Daphnia pulex: one gene and its partner. The protein of the gene in region 2 purifies or fractionates together with the protein of the main gene of each other region. This does not show direct contact. Links are inferred from orthologs where the notes say so. Each region holds a gene or a part of one and is shown on either strand. Other genes may lie near its edges. The genes, in order: TATA-binding protein-associated factor 2N-like and dynamin-1-like protein.

Region 1 (6,647 bases), on a different chromosome or scaffold from region 2:
GATCGCCACGGTATCCACCGCGGTAACCTCCACGGTAGCCGCCTTCACGTTGCTCGCCTCCCTCGCGATCTCCGCGGAAACCTCCACGGTATCCGCCACCCTCACGGGTCTCGCCTCCCTCGCGATCGCCACCGCGGTATCCACCACGGTAACCTCCTTCGCGTTGCTCGCCTCCCTCGCGATCTCCGCGGAAGCCTCCACGGTATCCGCCGCCTTCACGTTGTTCTCCACCTTCGCGATCGCCGCCGCGGTATCCACCACGGTAGCCTCCCTCGCGATATCCACCACCTTCACGTTGCTCTCCACCTTCGCGGAAGCCTCCACGGTAACCGCCTTCGCGATCACCACGGAATCCTCCCTCGCCGCGACCCCTTCCGCGACCACGACCACCGCGATCGCTTCCACGACGCGAGTCAGAGAAGCGGATCTCGATGTCCAAACGCTTTTGGCGTCCAGCTCGTTGAGGATACTCGGCCGTCAGATCGATAATTTCCTCTTCGCTTTCATCGTCATCCTTCTTCTTGTCAAGAACAAAGGTCTTTTTCCATTGAGAGTTGTCTTCACCTTCTCCTGGCTTGCGAATATTGAACTCGGGCTTCTTGCGTTCACCCCTCAGAGCTCTCCACTCATCTAGCGTCAACTCCTTGGGCTCTTCATCTTCAGGAGCCACTGGAGCAGTCTCTTCTCCCTCCCTATAATTTGGAAAAGATTCAAATTATTATTTTACATCTAATAACAATTTCAATGGTAAATGTAAGTCTTTAAAAGTTGTCAGCATCCTTTTGGCTTGCCTTATTCAACGAAAGTTTCTCTGAAATCTTTCTCGGCGTCAAAGTCTCATCAGTTTGAAATAAAATAACAAAATAGAACCCATGCACAGTAGATAGTGGTTCAAGCTAGGAAAACAATTAGTTTAAAAATAAAGCCTTATTTACTTGACTTCAGCTGTTTCAGCAGGAGCGACGACTTCAGCCTCTCCCTCGACAACCTCTTCAGCGACAGCAGGCTCCAGCTGGCCCTCAATTTCGTCTTGGACGCTTCCCCAATTGTGCGGACCACTACCTTCACGTTTCTCAATGGGTTTAACGCCACTCTTGTCAGAGCCAGATTGGCGGTCAAAATCGCGTTTGCCTCGTTGGTCTTGCATACCGCCACGACCGCGTCCACGACCACGGCCGCCACGGTCTCCGCCGCGGAACGCACCTCGTTCACCACGGAACGCCGAGCGAGGACGGAATTCAGCATCGTTACCCGTGCCAGGAGATCCACCCTCCGTGTTAGTCACGGATCTGAAATTGTTCCAGAAAGGTTAACATTAAAATATTATGAAGGAGAAAACAACAAAGGAAATAGTTGAGATAATCACACATAATTGCTACAAGCTTTTCAGTATCCTTTTGGCCATGGCTTAGTCATTGAACACTCGCCAAGATAGATCTCATCAGATAGCTTCACAATTTAAAGGAATCAATTATGGAAGTAATTCTCACCCAAAATCCCTAGGACGGTCTTCATTCCTCCTGTTGTTCCTTTCTTCTCGGGGAATGCTGTTGGGGAAACGACCTCCCCTGTCTCCCCTTGGTGGTCTAGGACCAAGGCCAGATCGATATCCATCTAAAAACAAAGATAAATGCCTGTTATTAGAAAATCACAAAATCTTTCGCAGAAATATTGATCATTGTTTACAATCAGTATCCTTTTGGTTAGCTCTCAACAGAAACATTCAATGTTTCTTCACTAAAAAGATTCTCATCACAAACAAAATTACACATTAACAACAAGGGCCAATAGCTCACATTTATAAAATAGAAGTAATTGGAAAATGTAAAAAATATCAGGTGTGAAGATAGAGAGTTGAAATCCCCGCAACGTGGTGACCACGTTGTCAGCGGCTCAAGGTCATAAAACTCGTCTAGTAACTTCCAAGAAAAATACTATATTGGAAAAAAAAACTCACCTTCACGGGGCTTGTTTTGTTCGGCGGGTTTGATAACATTGGCTTGCGTCTCCTTTAGTACAGCAGTTTTCTTAGCTGCTGTAGCTGGTTGAGTAGGAGCTCCACCGGATTTGCCTTTGACTTCGGCCGGCTTCGCACTACCAGTTTTAGCTCCGGCATCGACTGTTTTCTCTGCCGGTTTCTTGGTTTTCTCCTTAATGACTTCCAGAGGATCTTCACCCTCATCTAAAAACAACGCATACCTATGATTGAAATACAAGTCATTAATACATGAATCCATTTTTATGTGTAGAAGGTGTATATTTGCCTATTGGTGATTCCTATCCCGTACGTGGCCTCCATGCTTTCCTGGGGCCCTGTAACACAAAATGAAAGGTAAATTAAGCCACTCGGAACAAATGCTTACAGAAAAGTTGCCAAGAACGACTCTAAGAACAAGTCCCACAGCACAATGAAAAACTATGGACAGCCACACGATAGTGTGCGAGTCACAATAAGATCACATGCTTTGAAGAAAACGTTGAACACGCGACGACAGGAGAATATGCGTAAATAACGCATATGACTCAAATGAAAACGATATAAATAGCTAGTTAACTGCATTAAAGAAATAATTTTACCTGTGACTTGACGCCCCGATGAATCTGGATATAAATTTTGCTGTTAACAGCGATTCTAACCGCACAATCATGAAATGAAGGGGAATTCTGACTACTGGAGTTGCCAGTAGAGGACTTCTACTACTGGAGCTTGCCTTCGTTAAAGGCTGTGGTGTTGCCGGACCACGTCTCTGCGACAAATTAAAAAAAATTTCAATATGCGTTGTCTAAAACCAATTTAACCACTAAATATTATTTTAGAATTATTCAAATTGTCTTTTTTTTATGTGTTGTAACTTTGCAATTATTTAAAGTGGAAATTTGAGTCGGCAATGACGCCATGTTTTGAGCGCCAAAACGTTGGAAAAAAAGCGGGGGAAAGGGGGAACACGCTTCTGTTGTCAGTGGTAACTGTCGGTGTGGGAGATTTTACGTCGTGAGACTTTATCAAAAGAAAGTGATTTTTTGGAATATTAGTGTTGTCAACTGTTACTAAGAAGATGGAAGGAATAATGCTGCATGCCTACGAAACCCCGAAAAGGTGTCGAATGAAAGAAGAAGATCAATCTTTCATTCTACTAGATAACTCTGCTCTCACTGGTCAAAGCTGCGTCACTGATAGTGACGATTCGCTGACTACTAGAGCCAATTACAACGAAAATAGTCTGAAAAGAGGACGACCGAGAGCTGAAGTGATCAATAATCTGATTATTGAAGGATCTTCATCTCACAGTTCAATTCGTTGTGATATCTGCAATCGTGTATTTCCCCGAGAAAAATCCCTCCAAGCCCACAAAAGAATCCATACAGGGGAAAAGCCCTACTGTTGTGATTACCCTTCATGTGGCAAAGCATTCACTCAAAGTGGGCAGCTAAAAACACATCAGAGACTACATACAGGAGAGAAACCTTTTATTTGTAGTGTTGCTGGGTGAGTGACAATACATTTTGATTGATATTAATGTAATAATATTAATGTTAATTTTGATGTTTTCTCTTTAAAGGTGTAACAGCAGATTCACTCATGCCAATCGACATTGTCCAGATCATCCTTATGCTGGACTACGAAGAAATCATGAGCTGGCCCTTCATGCCTTGAATAATCAAACTGAAAACAACTCACCAGAAGTTCTCCTTTGGCTGGAAAAGTATGTTGATTTTATATGGTTTTCAAGAATGCAAATTAATTATAATTTTCTGTTTGACTCTCAGTTACAGGAAGAGGAATGATGAAAAAACACCAGGCAAGTTGTCTGATACCAACGACGATACCGATTCTAGTATTAGAATTAAGAAATGTCGAACAAAGAAAGCCTGCTGGTCAAGTGACTCGCAACAAGAAAACGAACAACAGAATCAGGATAATAACATCAACAGACAGCACCGTAGAAGCAAAGGCAGCATCGCCAAATCACTGCACTATGGAATGGAATCAACTAGTGATGAAACCCATTCGATTCCCCTCTATCGGTTAGTGTTACTAAAACTATCAAATGTCTTTCTCGGATTGCATCTGACATTCATTTGCTTTGTTACAGGAAACTTTGCGAAGCTGTAGAGCCTTCTTCGTTTGGCTGTACTCCTCTTCAATGGTCTCCGAGGTCGAACAACAACAAGAACAAGTCCATCATAACTAGTCCGACTAAATCGACACCGCGCCGCGACATATCATCCGGATATGAATCTTTGCTTCAGGAGTGCCACCTCAACAGTACCTTGGATTCCAGTCGCGAAAACGTCATGAACGAAACGGCTAACGGTTCCAGCGGATTTTTGGCGCTGCCTGACACACCTGTCCGTCCCGAAAAACCCAAGCGGCGTTGGCTGCGTGAAGCTCTTACGAGTAACAACGAACAGCTCATTACCAACATGAACCGACCCAGTGTCATAATAGCTTCACCCAGGGTATTTCAACCCAAAAACACGTCCACACCAGATAAACCCAATAACAGCACCTTAATGCGAGCACTCCAAAACGCCGAAAAACAATGGACTGGCGCGATTGCTTTGATGCAGCTGGCCTCTTCAAGTTCGCAGTGCTGAAAAGAAAATGAACATAATGAATTCACCAAAGTTTTGTCTCTCTCAATAACCTATCCTTCCAATTCTGTCAATTTCTAATCTGCTGTTCCATTTCCTTGTAATTGCTCAGTGAAAAACGGTATTATTTTCGCTTATTATGATATTTCTCCATTTCCATCACTACTTTATTTTGAGAACTCTTTCTCGTACCTGAAAGATGAATCGACTGTTCTCTTCACTACTTATTTAATTTACTCTCTCCTTTCGATCCAGTGTCTTGATGAAGCTTTAACCAATCGATTCGTGCTTTTGGTGTTTACTCTTTTAATCTTGCTGATAGAGAAGACCAATACTTAGAACCCAACTGTAGTTTTGAAACGAAACAAAAATTCACTCCATGTTCGTAATTTTCTTAGTGCTGTGTGTTTATGTATCTCGGCCTTTTTAATACAAAGCCATTTTTTCCCACATTACAATTGCACGTCCAAAGGGTGGTACAGTTCACTGAGGAGTCGGTAGATGTAAGACGGTGCATTGCCTCCGCTAGAGAAACAAGTGTGATTATAAAATAGATACTTCTTCATTATCTTCAAACTATTTAAAAATAATTCGCTTACGTATTTGAAATAAAGAGTGTGACGAGCTCTGGAGGTACGTAGTCGAAAATTGGATTGTAGACGTTCACTTTGGAAACGAGCTTGCCTTCGTCGTTGTTCAATACTTCCTCGGGTGACACAAACTGGTTGAATCCATCTTGATCAAGGCTACAGACATATTCGGGACAGAGTTTAAACATTGGTGCACATACGACGAACTGAAATCATAAAAAATAAATTATTTTAGCTGAAAGTGTAGGCCTACAAAACTTATTCCATTACCGGAACCGAATAATGCTTTGCAGCCAGTGCAAGGGTATGAGTGCCACACACTGCTTTTAGACCACCGTTGGCCATAACAGAATGAGTACCGATGATTACTTTATTCACACGTGCCATCATTGCGAAAATGGCAGAATCCGGAATAAGGGTAGTAGAGATACGAGCTTCGGCTAAATCTGCAGCCAATTGATGTCCCTGTAATAATAGTCTGGAGTAAATATACAGGTGTTATGCAAATAAACGTTTTCAAATTCGCTGCCTACGTGGAAAAATGGAGCACATTCAGCAACGATGACCTGGAAAACACGATTTTTCGCAGCTGACTTCAGAAACGCCGAGACAGTTTTAGAATAACCAATAGTCATGATGATTTCGTTAGCGTGAATGTGTTCTAGGGCCTGGGCGGAAATGTCGATTTCACTGTGGAAACAAATTAAGGTAGTTGAATAGGCTGTGAAGCTAGACATGTGGTAAATTCTCAAACCTGGATTCTAATTCGGCAAGGAACTCTCCAATGTGCTCCATGATGGCTGGTTTGAGCAAGGGGATGTTTTTAGTGTAATCAGAATCACTTTCATCTGCTGTGAGAATTTTTTGAAGTGAGTCTTGCAAATCAGATTCTTCTTGTTTTCCTTTCTGCAGCATGGCATACTCATCCCTGACAATCTTTAACATTCTTCTTGTCATGTTGCCAATGACTGTTTCTGAAGGTGCAGTCTCTGCCAAATCTTTACCTATTCTTTTTATGGTGTCCATAAGCTCCCTACAGATTGAATTGAATCACTTAATAACTGGAACAGGAATTCTGGACTTGAGATAAACTAACAAACCTTGCATTCTGCCATTTCATTTGACCAATGATTTTTTTCCAAAGCTGTACGGAATTAAGGGCCAAGTCTCTCGATCCTTTGAACTTTCTACGAATAAAAAGAAACACAGAATGTCAATAACGAGATGGAATAGCCAGCATTACTTCTATGGCCTATAACAATCATACCTTTGCTTAAGATTGTTGGTGAAAGTTTCAATTATACCTTCAATTTCACTTTCAAGACTCGGCATTTTCACACTGATTTTCTATAATTTATTCTGAAATAACTGGTTTAAAGACAGATAATAAAGTGAAGTAGTTCACTGGAGAAAACGAGAATTTTGCAGCGTATTGTTTATTTACAAAGTTCGTCTGCAACT
Region 2 (6,838 bases):
CCGTGAAAAATGGGAGTCAAAAGAAAAGAAAGAAAAAAGACAATGAAAAGACGAATCAATCAAAAAGGTCCACTTTGATTCACGCCCTCGGTTTTTATTATTTTTTTTTATTATTTGGGAAAGTCTTGATCACTTTCCTTCAATCCCGTTTTTGCCGATACGTAGAAATTTGGGGCCAGCGAGATAATATCCATCGATCGAGTCGTCGCGCAAGTCAATTAACCCACAACAGGAAAAAAAGGATTATTCCCTAATCATAATATAATACAACCGGCTCGCACAAGAATCTATATACGAGTATACGAGTCTATACTATAGATAGAGTTGATTCGATTAGACCCAGTGGGTGGTGTAGGCGGGGGCAGGGGATCCTCGGGCAATTAGACCATGAATCCTTGTTGCATGCTATGAGATAATTGGCCTCAGCAGCCAAAAACCCAATTTCCTTTTTCTCTTTTTCTTTCTCTCTCTCGTGAGCCCCAAAAGTAAACCGCCGGCAACCCAAAAGCTTTTTTTTCTCCCCTTTAAAACTTATATAGTCTGTTATTATTATTATTATTGTTAAGTAGACTCAGTGTAGATGAGTCTAGGCAGCAGCAGTTATAAACAAATGAAACGCTAACGAGCTTTTATCCCCCCCACTCCCGTACGAAACTGCGTGAACCAATAAAACAAAAGAGAGATTTAAAAACAAAAGTGGAGAGATCATTGCCACCTCATTATGAATATCATTCACCCGTTTCATTACGGCTCACCAAATCTCGTCAGGTTCTCGTTAAGAGTTGCCGAAATTGAATTCAAACCGACACATGACGACCTCTCATATATTGAAAAAAAATCGATTTCAGAATTTACAGAATGATTGGATTTCGTTCCTGGGAGTTTTGTTTATCCATCCGATTGATGGGCTGTTGTTGTTGTTGCATTTTCATTTCGTGGATTTAAAAAAAAAGAAAAAAAGATTCTTTTCAATTTAGCCTTTAACAATTGAATTGGATCCGTTTCAAATAGATATATACTACGTCTATATTCTTTGGGCCCTTTTGTGTAGTAGTTCCTCTTAGGATATTATATCCGAGAAGGGCGGGCGGAGGCTGGATGGATTCAGCAATATTAGAAGCTCTCCGGCTTTTTGGGGCCCCCCCTTCTGAATATAAACGTATATATCTACTGCGTACTGCACCCATAAAGACTTATTGCACACGTGCCGGGGTATCAAACGGATTATAACCTTCTCTCCCCCCTCCAGCAGCACATACACCCCACAACAACAACAACAACAACTAAAAGTAAGAGAAAGAGAAAAGTAACATTTCGAATCTGGCGCTCTCACGAGACGACTCAAAGTGTACGGGGGGGTTGGTTGGTTGGTTCTTCTAATCCTAAGCGATTGCCCCCTTCGCCTGTACATCTCTAAGAGTTTGACTGGGCAGCAGCAGCTATATATAAATATATATTTATAATCTACAATGTTTTTCTCTCTTTTGTGTTGTTGTTGCTGCTGCTGTGGCTGGATGTGTGACAGGAGGATCTCGAGGTCAAGATTAATGACGCCCTGATTACCAGCCCCCAACACGATTCCTTACTTTGATGATGATGATGCCACACGTACGTAGCCCACACAACTTCTAGGCCCTAGTTTTTCTCTCTTTATTTTGCTCTATATCTAATCAATGGGGAGGCTGGCAACCCCCCCTGCCCCAACGGAGAAAAATACAACAACCGCTGCTGCTTCTATCGATATTGATGGATTTCTTCTTCCGACTGGAGGGCCGAAGATGATGGAGTTCAGGTAAGATACCTGCCGGGCCCAAAAGGCGATCGATAGTGGCTCAGAAAATAAAAAATCAAATAAAAACACGGAAAATTTCAGAAAGGAAAATAGAAAGAAGAAGCTTTTAGAGCGATTGGATGGAGACCCAGAGGCGCTCCTGAATCATTGATCTCTCCTCTCTCTATCCAAAAAGGAGCCCATCGCTTATTTCCAGTCACACACGATGCGTCAATCTTTCACGCCGACGTTTCTTCCCTTATTTTTACTGCTCACGACGACCGCCGAGTAACGACTGCACTACATGTTTATTGTATGTGCTGCTGCTGTTGTTGCACTCTGACCTTCTTCCACACACAAACACACAACTCGGGAGTCTCTCTAGAGGGTTCTCACCACCACAAGGGAGAATCAACCAATCGATTCGAGAGCTTCAAAAACTTCTTTGGGCAATCAACTCGACGCTTTTGATTACTTTGCTGCTGCTGCTGCTGAAACTCTTGTTTGTGTTGATAAGAAGATGAACTCAATTTGCAATTCCAATCAGCTCGAGAGACTGTGAAAACAAGCGATACAGTCCTCGACCCATCATTCAATTATCCCCCCCACCACCACCACAGAAAATAAAATAATTTTTCGGGAAAGGAAACACAAAAAGTCAATGGGGATTTTCACCAGCGTCCGTGTGACTATTTCCACCTGCCGGCCTGTTTTCAAGTGGGGAGGAAATATATAATCAATGTCTCTAATTCCATCACATACACAGAGAGAGAGTCTTATAAAGGAATCTTCCATCTCTCAAGGAGATTTCCTCACATTCAATGGGGTTGGGCGACAACACAAATGGACTGATTGGTTTCCCAACATTCTTGGCGAGAGAATTTCCCGTTGGGTTGTTGTGTGTTGTTCGTAGGGCTGGATGGATGGATGGGGGGGTTTCCGCTTCGACAAAATCCAGAGGATATACGCATTGATATTATATATATATACATATCAAAAGGGGCGGGTGATAAGAATACAAGGTTGAAGAAAAGGGGCGGATAACAATAGGCTTTTACCGTTTCAATTTAACAGAAATTTTTATATCAATGTAGTTCTTTTTTCCCTGAGCATATAATACCTTTTTCCCTTTACTTTATTCTGGCAAGTTGATTGAATTCCGAGTCTGACTTGATCAAGGTTTCCTTTTGATGTTTCCCCTACGAGAGCAACGGAACGGAGGAATCAAAGGAACTGCGCCACCCACCCACACGTAACTGATGCTCCATTAGATGATTTGCTGCTGCTGCTACGTAGTACTCGATTCTATTTAATAATATGACAAGTTGGGCAAGACGTTGCAACTAGTCCAATCGGGGCGAGCTACTTTGACGGCGTTAAAAACTTCAACTTTGGCGTTTTTCACGCAATCAAGAGAAAAGAAGGAAATTTCGTGGAAAACAATTCATCGACATCAAAAGGTGTGTGTGTTGTAGATATCGGCAAATTCGATTTTTCAAATCTGCGCATTTCTTGGTAGCAACACCATCTAGCGGTAGACAAATGTAGCTTTTTATCTGGCATCTAGCGGCCAAAAATGAAGCTTTTCTATTGATTTGGTGTAAATAAAGTCGTGAAAAAGAAATTTAAACCACGTGAACAAATCGTTCAAGAAAAAAGAAACTTTAAGACAGTCAATCAATGACGAGCACTGTTCATAATTGCACAATTAGGAAAGCTTCCTGATAACAAAGAAAAAACCGCGAAAAAGTAGCCTAACTGCACACAGTGTCAATATGGTAATTTTACTCAATTTTTTTGGCTAATCAACCAAACTTTCCAATAGTGCAAAGGTTCCCAATAAGAAAAAAACTAGCAATTATCAAAGACTATGGTTTCAGATAATAAGCCAGCACAAACACTTGGAATAATAATTGAATTGAAATAATAGGTTGTGCCACTTACAATTTCGGGGATTGCCAGATGATTTCCTCCATTGTCGCTAGCTGTTCTGTCTGTTGCTGAAGAAAAGTCATCTACGCCATGGCTTTCATCCCTCGACACTCTGGAGATGGTAGAACTGGTCAATCTCTTTGTCTGTTCCCGGAAAAGGTTTTGAGGTCTGCCACAACAAACCACTAAATCCAACCTTCTGATGTTCACACTTCCATTAAGTACACAGGCTTAGAGATCTTATGGGTTTGTTTTAGTACATATAAATGTCATCAGTTAAAAATTCAAGTTCACTTTGTGCAGTTGAATAACTTCGAACCACGTGTGGCCATGGCCGTGAGTATATGCAAGATTAATCGATTCGTTTTTTAAATAACGAAATGAATTCACAGTAAATTTTTTATTCACCCGCTATAATTTAAAATGTAAATATGAAAGTTTATCACGTGCATCACCTTTACCATTTTTAAGTTTTTAGAGAACTCGAATCGTAAGTGTTTAGCTGTTACCTCGTCGACTCGTCGGTCGGAAATGAAAATTGCCACGATTTTATCCCGCCAATTTTCTGTTCTTCTTGTCGATTGCCAAATCTACTGATTATTTATTTCAATGACTTGAAAATATATATATTTTTCTTAAAACATCTTTTTGAACATCAACACTTTTTTAAATCAATTGCAGGAAAAAAAAAGAATAATAATAAGAATCGTCAGTTGATTTCATTGATCGTCTCTGAGTCATTTATCGTGTGTAACTAAGGTTAGTAATTCTTTATGATGGATGATGGTACAATCTTGGTAATATCTAATTATTTCTAAACTTCTAATCAGTTTAAAAATAAAAACCAAGCATTGGAAAAGAAAGCATGGCAGTTAGCAACATTTGGTGCTGGGAAAAATGTTTCACGTCGTGAAGGAAAGAAGTTGAATCAAACTTTAAAAAAATAGTGGATTTAAGCTGATGACACTGAAAGTTGAAATAGTTGAAGGGAGTTATGTTATTTATTGGAAATCGAGATTCGTGTGAAATAAGAAATTCAAATGGTGTGAAATATGAGCGCGAGGGAAAATGTAACACGTGACGTGACCGTTAGATGGCATAGAAAGAGGGAAAATTTATTCGTGTAAGGATGAAATTACTCCCGAACTCAGTCCCGAAAGGAAAATTGAAGACGTTCAGTTTCGCAACTTACGGGGCATCATGCCCACTCACACCCACTGATTTATGCAATACATGCAATATTAAAATTATAGGTTCCCATTTTGGTGTGAAAACTGGACAATATGTGGCGATTCCGGGAATTTCTGTACCTTTTCTCGTCTTGTCCAACGGCCGCCCTTCGCTGTACTTCTTTTGATTAAGTATTAACGTTGTTTAGTCGAGGGCTATATAGTCTAAGAGAAAGTTAATTTACCATTTTCGTCGACTTGGTTTTGGGAATGTATAAGTCCTGGGGAATTCCATTTAAAGTTGCGGTTAACACCTCCGAAATAAAAAGAGATCTTGTTAGAGAAACATTCAATATTTATGCCACGTTTCCTGGGCCGAACGCAACCAGCCGAAAGAGAAAATACTTGTAACTTGTCGCCAGTCAATTCTTTATTTGTAGATGGGCTATTCAGTGGCCTGAGTTGGCGCGTGGGCAACTGTACAATTGTACAGTTGGTCGGACACCACTGCGGGCCTAGTCACGTGGCTTCCCACTTCAAATTAACGTTAGTTAGTCTACTAGTTATATACGTTCAAAAGTTACACGCCAAATCAGTTGACAGCCGAACTTACCAGATTCGATACAAGACTTACTTCATCCAACGTTCTGTAGGGATATCAAATGTAAATCATTTCAGCAATTAAGTGCAAATCGAGGTGAGTGTTCAATCATTACGATTTCTCTTTAAATGCTTTAAGCCTTTAACAAGTTTTTTCTTAGCTAATTAATGTTCGGTTTCTCATTGAAATTTTACTTTTGACATCTAAATTATTGAAACCCACTCTCTTTCCTCTTTTATTCACCGTAATGAATGTGACGTAATAGGATCGAAAATGAACCGAAAATAACGAATAAATGGTATACACTTTTCAAGAGATTTTTCCGTCAGAAACAAAAATCTAGCAACAGAAAATGAATCAATGTAGCCTCATTAGCTTTGCTGTTCTCAATAATTCGACAGATTTTCTATTGCATTGATAATTAGCGACGTAGAAGTGTACGGTGATACATAATAAACCTATACAATTTATACATGGAGCAAATTGAACTCTATGGACAGCAGATGGTACTGCGCAACTGCCGCCGTGTGGTGTTAACAAAAAAGGGAACTGGCAATTCAAATAAAGAGCTCTTCCATCGGAGCATCAACTTACATCCAACAGAACTTGGCCAGTGGTAAAGACATCACCCACGGGCCGCATTGACTTGTAACGAGGTTTTACCAGGAAATTTTTTAAACTTTGTGCACCTGCAATTCCGGATCGAGACGTGCTGCAAGCAATTCTTCGCCACCAGTTGAGACTTTGATACACGCCCATCTGAAAGAAACACGAGATCTTGAAATAATAGGTAATATAAACAACGAAGCAAATTTTTTTTTTGCGTAATTAAAATTGATTAGGTTTAAACTAATTAGTGGTAAAAGCACTCTTTTTTACATCGACAAAGTTTTGTTGATTTGACAGTGACGACATCAGTTTCAACTAATTGGAGTGCGGGTGGGATGTTTTGTGTAAGTGGGTTGTGATTAAAATGTCATGTTTAATATTTGCTTAATTAATGCAGTAAAATTAAATGGATATATTTTTTTTGGTAGGCTACTAATGATTCATTGGTGTTGCAATGCGCTTCTTTTCGTGTGATCTAGCATTACTTCAAATTCATTTTTTAGATATTTATTTTTTTGCGCTAAATTCAAAGGATAAAAAGAAAATAGTAAATGAAATTTAATCATAGGGTTCCGCTAATTAATTAAATGTCTTTATGGGTTCAAAATCAAATGCAGGTGCCGAAAAATAGTCCCAACATGTTGATCAGCCATCCCGAATTCAAAACGTCAGCTTGTTGTATACTTATCTTAACTATAATGGTGGCCAACAGCGCATCCGGAGCTGCACTGGAAGGGCAAGTTGATGATCGATCGA

The links.
Region 1: the proteins of dynamin-1-like protein (region 2) and TATA-binding protein-associated factor 2N-like purify together in Homo sapiens (affinity purification with mass spectrometry; 3 studies listed by BioGRID and IntAct, with this or other methods). This does not show direct contact. The link is inferred for Daphnia pulex from reciprocal best matches to the Homo sapiens genes DNM1L and SERBP1.

Annotation. Positions count from the first base shown.
Region 1 is NC_060019.1:5,856,228-5,862,874, forward strand, and holds the start of TATA-binding protein-associated factor 2N-like, read right to left. Parts: upstream 3,769-6,647; 5' UTR 3,705-3,768; coding exon of another isoform or gene 3,561-3,704; intron 3,488-3,560; coding exon of another isoform or gene 3,057-3,487; exon of another isoform or gene 2,748-3,056; 5' UTR 2,578-2,747; exon of another isoform or gene 2,314-2,577; 5' UTR 2,300-2,313; coding exon 2,265-2,299; exon of another isoform or gene 2,200-2,264; coding exon 1,958-2,199; intron 1,615-1,957; coding exon 1,491-1,614; intron 1,290-1,490; coding exon 936-1,289; intron 693-935; coding exon 1-692. Other genes in the region: asparagine-rich zinc finger protein AZF1-like, read left to right, coding at 3,057-3,487, 3,561-3,704, 3,769-4,026, 4,095-4,599; translation initiation factor eIF-2B subunit beta-like, read right to left, coding at 5,049-5,121, 5,196-5,392, 5,457-5,651, 5,720-5,876, 5,941-6,219, 6,287-6,373, 6,454-6,518. UniProt on the Homo sapiens protein: Ribosome-binding protein that promotes ribosome hibernation, a process during which ribosomes are stabilized in an inactive state and preserved from proteasomal degradation.
Region 2 is NC_060025.1:9,306,969-9,313,806, reverse strand, and holds the start of dynamin-1-like protein, read right to left. Parts: upstream 3,920-6,838; 5' UTR 3,716-3,919; intron 1-3,715. Other genes in the region: uncharacterized protein LOC124203200, read left to right, coding at 6,670-6,838. UniProt on the Homo sapiens protein: Functions in mitochondrial and peroxisomal division.